Linked DNA regions of Callithrix jacchus. The protein of the gene in region 2 purifies or fractionates together with the protein of the main gene of each other region. This does not show direct contact. Links are inferred from orthologs where the notes say so. Each region holds a gene or a part of one and is shown on either strand. Other genes may lie near its edges.

Evidence for each region. The genes of interacting proteins can lie anywhere in the genome.
Region 1: the proteins of ISG15 (region 2) and ENO1 purify together in Homo sapiens (affinity purification with mass spectrometry; 4 studies listed by BioGRID, with this or other methods). This does not show direct contact. The link is inferred for Callithrix jacchus from reciprocal best matches to the Homo sapiens genes ISG15 and ENO1.

What each region holds. Positions count from the first base shown.
Region 1 is NC_133508.1:46,738,313-46,741,882, forward strand, and holds part of ENO1 (alpha-enolase), read right to left. Parts: intron 2,941-3,570; 5' UTR 2,932-2,940; coding exon 2,847-2,931; intron 159-2,846; coding exon 63-158; intron 1-62. UniProt on the Homo sapiens protein: Glycolytic enzyme the catalyzes the conversion of 2-phosphoglycerate to phosphoenolpyruvate. In addition to glycolysis, involved in various processes such as growth control, hypoxia tolerance and allergic responses.
Region 2 is NC_133508.1:39,228,991-39,231,713, forward strand, and holds ISG15 (ubiquitin-like protein ISG15), read left to right. Parts: upstream 1-1,193; 5' UTR 1,194-1,255; coding exon 1,256-1,258; intron 1,259-1,639; coding exon 1,640-2,155; 3' UTR 2,156-2,197; downstream 2,198-2,723.

The DNA of each region.
Region 1 (3,570 bases), about 7.5 Mb from region 2:
GGCAAGGCCAGGAACAAGGGCTGGAGGCAGGGAGACCACGGGCTGTGGGTTTTAAGGCTTACCCTTCCCCATATAGCGAGTCTTATCATTGTCCCGGAGCTCTAGGGCCTCATAGATACCAGTTGAAGCACCACTAGGCACAGCAGCTCTGAAGAGACCTGGATGAGGGGGAAAAAGACAACAGTAGCAATTAAGAAATCCAGTTACAGCACAAGCCCCAGCTCCCTCCCGCCCACAGATGCATCTGTCATTAGAGAACTGTTTCTTCCTCCTACCAGCTGGGGGATTTAAATGCTCTGGCCTGTTCTTAGTGCTTTTCATGTGCTTATAATCCTGTACTGCAAACCTCACTACAAAGATGACTAATTCCCCTAGCAGAAGGAAACCGCTCTCCAGTAGAGCCTGCATGCCACCCGGGGTCTTGTTAAAATGCAGATTCTGACCCTGGAAGTCCGAGTATGTATCGCTCACAAGCTTGTGTTAGTGCCCTGTGGATTATCCCAGCAGCACTGCCTGACAGAAATACAGTGCGAGCCATACAGGGCATTGAAGATGTTCTGGTACTCTGTGTGTGTGTGTGTGTATCTATCTATGTATGTTTTTGTTTGCTTGTTTTGAAACAGTCTCACTATATCCCCAGGCTGGAGGAGCGCATGACGTGATCTCGGCTCACTGCAACCTCGGCTCACTGCAACCTCTACCTACCGGGTTCAAGCAATTCTACTGCATCAGCCTCCCCAGGAGCTGGGATTATAGTCACCCGCTACTGCACCAGACTAATTTTTGTATTTTTAGTAGAAATACAAATGTTCACCACGTTGGCCAGGCTGGTCTTGAACTCCTGACCTCGTGATGCACCCACCTCAGCCTCTCAAAGTACTGGGATTACAGACCTGAGCTACTGCACCCCACCAGATACTATATGGATGTTAAGCATGAAATTAGGGAATTTATTGGCTCAGGAGGAATATCTAGCTGATTTCTTTCAGTTTGGACAATGCTAAATGCTATTTTGGGGGTTCTATGCTCAACTGGGAGCCAGCAAAGAGTATGGATGCGAGGGGAAGGAAGAAAGAAAGAAAATGTGCGGTCTAATAAATACAAGAATCGAACCAAGTAATCCTGCAGATTCGGAAACCAGCCATCTGGTGAAACCTATGCCATTAAGCATAACAAAAGCAATTTTTGGAGGAGGTAAAAGAACAGATGGTGTCAAGGAAGGTGTTGCAGATAGGTGGGGCAGACAGGTTTAGGGGAGCGGAAAGTGTAGGCAGCCCCTTGAATCTACTTGAAGGTAGAAGAAATTTCTCCATTTGAGATGTGTGGAGTGTGAAGGCAAATGACAAAAAAAAAAAAACAAACCAACCAACCAACCAAAACAACCAGGTATTTTCAGCAAAGGACCCACCGGTGTTCCCCATCGCACTGCAGCATGTTAGGACGGACTTTCTTCTTAGAACCTGACCTGGGGCTCCCTACATATCCACCCAGCACTGGATCGGACAAAGACAAGTTGAAAACGAGAGACTTGTTGGTTTCTGCAGACTTTTGGTGATAATGTGTATGCATAGTCACCACTCTGGTGGGGATGTTGACAATGGGGGAGGCTGCGCATGCGCAGAGGCAGTGGGTGCACGTGGGTTCATGGGGGTGCACGGGCCTCTGCACCTTCCGCCTGCTTTTGCGGTGAAGCTAAAACCTAAAACTGCTCTAAAAAAGGCCATGAGACAGGAAGAGAGATGAAGATGAAATGTTCTGAACAAGTTATCATTTCATTTTTTAAAAAGGATTAAGACATAATGTCCGCCTCCGAACAATCCCCTGACATCTGGGGTCTTTTGTTGCTTGAAGTTCAGTAATTTTCAAGCAGAAAGTTCCACTCATTGACTAAGTAAACCAATCTCATTGGATGAAGCAAATTCTTGGCATCCTGTGAGAGCCCTCAGGATTCTGGAGAAACCCCTCTGTGCCTGGGAGCCCACACTGCAAGCAGTCAGAGGCAGAACACAGGCAGTCTTTTGCCCTGTTAAGTTGAGCCTCAAGGATCCTTCCTTCTTGAGGGGGAGGGGAAGGGAAGGGCTGGGGTTCCACTGCTAGGGCGACTCACAGCGGGTGACTCAGCTCTGACTGGCAGTTCTCTGTGTTTAGCACCCCTGAATGATTCTGCCTGAAGCTCCTTTGCCAACCTCACCCACCCTGTCCACTGTGCCATGTGCTAGAGGTAACGCACGGCTACAGAGGCACTGGATTTTCTTCTTAAAGTAAAAGGAAGGAGTTTCCCCATTCTGTTGTTTTTTTCTTAAGAAAACTCCTCCAATGGGGATTGATGGCCAGGTAAAAATGAGAGCCTCTGGATTATTCCCAAGCCCACAGGTAAAAACTGTCCTTGATCCTTGCTGAAGAGTGATTTCTAGACACAGAGATAAGGGTGCTAAGTTTATGCCTGCTGGTCCTCCCCTGATCTCTTTCCCTATCAAGAGAAATCATCCTATCATGCTGTTATCTCCATATTTGGTCACTGCAAGCTGTCAGCCAACAACTAGTGATGGGTCCTTCTAGGGACAAGGTCTCAATGGTATCACCTTACTTACCTCCTTACCTCACTGACTTAGGAGCCAACCAACTTATGTGGTTTTAAGCCAAGGGGCACCAAGATACTGGCTACATGCCGAAAAATCCCCCAACACCGCTAGTCAGGAATCACAACCTACTAGCACATGCAGACAGAAAGAAAAGCTTTGATCGATTTTTTTTTTTTTTTTTTTTGCCCAAGGCTCCAGCATTTGTAGAAAATTTTAAAAATGAAGCGTGGTGGAAGGAACTGCGGAAACCAGGGTGGCACATACCTTTTGCGGTGAAGAGATCAACCTCGACGGTGGGATTCCCACGAGAGTCAAAGATCTCCCTGGCATGGATCTTGAGAATAGACATGGTGGATTTCTGTGGGGGAGATACACAGGTCATATTTTCCACAAGCCGTAATGCTGCATTTGCTTCCTCAGTCAAGGAATCACTCCGAGGTTCCTGGACTAGAAAGAACCGGCATTGGACTAAATATTGGATGTTGGAAAGCTGGTTAGGGTGTGGGGGGAAGCCTGCTGAAAAGCAGTGGGAATTCTCCTAAATAAGTAGTTAGGCCCAGCTCTGGAAGGCCTTAAGCTATTTATTCCTAGTGTTCCATTATTGGAACACTAAGCTTGCGGGAGTTATTTTTATCCTACTGCCCAAGTCATTGCCAAGGTCTGATTTTTCACAAAAAATATTTGGAACCTCCGGCATAAATGGTTTAAACCCCAGCATCTGTGGTCTTGTTCTGTAAGCAAAAAAAGAGAAAAAGCCCAACAATTTGTGTGCCCAGGGAGAAATCAAATCCAACTGGAAAGATGAATGTGTTGCTAGATGCAAAACTGGCTACTGTCATGAGCAAACAATGAGGGCTGGCACGGAAATGGAAAGGAACCAAGAACAGACATGAAGGTCACAAGCAAAACCACTAGGACGAGGCCAAAAAGGGGTGTGGGGGACCTGGGGAAAATCTGGTTTGTAGCAGAATTAAAATAGTGAATTACA
Region 2 (2,723 bases):
CAGGCTGGTCTGGAACGCCTGACCTCAGGTGATATGTCTTCCTCAGCCTCCTGAAATGTTGGAGGACATGTTCAGTGAGCCTTCATTTTCATTATTACAGTCATGCTAATCGAAATCAGCTTCTCATTGGGGTTTTGATTTGCATTTCCCCATGAATAATGATACGGCCGCCTTCCCGAGGTACGCAGCTGTTTCTGTGTCACTGGAGAAATGTCTATTGAAGTCTTTTGCCCATTTTAAAATTGACTCGCCTTTTTAAAATTGAGTTGTAAGAGTTCTTTGTACGCCCTGGATGCTGCCCCTCATCAGAGAAATAATTTGAAAATATTTCTTCCCATTCTGTGGATTGTTTTTCACTTTCTCAGTAGGGCCCCAGAATTCATTTTTTTTTTTTTAATAAAAGATATGTCTCTTCTATTAAAAAACAATATGAGGCCTGAGCGTGGCGGCTCAGGCCTGTCATCCCTGCACTTTTGGGGCCGAGGCAGGTGGATCACTTGAGTCCAGAAGTTCAAGACCAACTTGGGCAACATGGAGAGATTCCATCTCTACTAAAAATACAAAAAATTAGCTGGTGCACCTGTGGTCCCAGCTACTTAAGAGGCTGAAGTGAAAGGATCGCTTTGGCCCAGGAGGTGGAGGCTGCAGTGCACTGAGATCGTGCCACTGCACTTCAGCCTGGGGGACAGAGTGAGACCCTGTCTCAAAAAAACAAAAACAACAACAAAAAACACCAATCTGAGCAAACATTTCCCTAAACCAAGTGAGGTTATCTCTGGGTAGTTTGGACGGTCACTGTTTCACTTCCAAGTTTACTAATCTTGCAAACTGGTAAATGGAAAATGAAAACTGCCCATCATTCGTTCATGCGACGATGAGTTACTACATCTCGTGAAGGACCCAGAATGCTGGATACTCAGGTGTTTCCAGGGCGTTGGGCAGGGGTGGGGACGCTGTCCGCTGTCCTGAGTCCCTGTCCCTGACCGTGCCCTTGAGACCCTGCCTACTCTGCTTCTGCTTTTCCCTCTGTTTTCGTCATTCTGTTTTGTTTCTTCTACTCACTCCCGGGCTTGCCTCGGGAAAAGGAAACTGAAACCGAAGCTGAATCTGGCCACTAGGCTCAGGCTCCCCTGGCACGCCCCCTGACATGTGCGGCTCAGGCTTATAAAAGGGCCGGTGGTGGCTCGGGAGCTGGCAGCCCAGAGGCAGCGCATTCATCTTTGCTGTATGGGAGCTTGTGCCACAGCCCACAGCCATGGTAAGGCAGATGCCACAGGTGGGGGCGGGGGGCTGCGTTCAGTCCATTTTCCTCTCTCTTCCCCAGCCAGGGTCTCCTGGGGGTGCAGGGTGCTGAGTGGTCAGCCAGGTGACCTGAACGTTCTCCTGAAAGCGGGTCACCCCGGAGAGTGTCGGGGTGGGGCACAGAGGGGCGTCCTAGCAGGTAAGGGGAGGCCACAAGGTGGCTGTGGGCAGCTGACCTTCTAGCAGTGACCCCTCAGTGCCTTCTGTGCCTGCGGTCCCTGCTGACAACATGTGGATGGAGCAGTATCCCTGGGCACAGGCGCTTGTGCAGCCAGAGCCTCATGTGTGGTGGGCCTGGGGCTGGTGCAGAGTCTCTGAGCCTGTGTGATTCCTGCAGGGCCGGGACCTGACAGTGAAGATGCTGGGGGGCCACGAGTTCCAGGTGCCCCTGAGCAACTCCATGTTGGTGTCAGAGCTGAAGGCAAAGATCACCCAGAAGATCGGTGTGCACGCCTTCCAGCAGCGTCTGGCCATCTACCCGAGTGGCATGGCACTGCAGGACAGGGTCCCCCTTGCCAGCCAGGGCCTGGGCCCCGGCAGCACCATCCTGCTGGTGGTGGACAGCTGTCATGAACCTCTGAGCATCCTGGTGAGGAATGACAAGGGCCGCAGCAGCACCTATGAGGTGGCACTGACACAGACCGTGGCGCAGCTGAAGCGGCAAGTGAGCCAGCAGGAGGGCGTGCAGGAAGACCTGTTCTGGCTGACCTTCGAGGGGAAGCCCATGGAGGACCAGCTCCCGCTGGGAGAGTATGACCTCAAGCCCCTGTGCACCGTGTACATGAATCTTCGCCTGCGGGGAGGCAGCGCAGAGCCTGGCAGGCTGAGCAGAGGGCCTCCTGCCAGCATCTGAGCAGGATCAAGTGCTGGAAATAAAGGTTGCTGCAAGGGGAAATGGATGCCTCTGTGTCTGCGCCTGCCCCTCCAGGGGCCATCTCTGATCTGACCCTGCTGATGGAGCTAGGGGAGGAGTCAGGAGGGAGAACTGCCTCTGTGTCTGCACCTGCCACTCCAGGGGCCACCTCTGATCTGACCCTGCTGATGGGGCTAGGGGAGGAGTCAGGAGGGAGAACACAGGGTATATCCTGGTGGCCAGGCCTGCGTTGCCAAGTGAAGGGCCTGCAGTTACAGCCTCGAGGGATCAAAATAGGGACCCCCCCAAAACTGAAGTAAGACAGGTCTTCCCACCCTTTGGGAAATTATCTTCTAGAGAAAGAAAAAGAGGTGCATTTGATGGAACCCACCTGGCCCTCCAGCATCTGGGACAGCAGACGGCTTGCACAGGGACCAGCCTGCTCAGATCAAAAGGCTACCAGGGAGGCTCATGGAAGCAGTGAGGGGTGATTCCTCGGGGCCTACCCAGTGGGCCGTGAGGCAGGCTCTGCACAGGAACTGGGGCTGGGGGCCTTAGTTATCCCTAG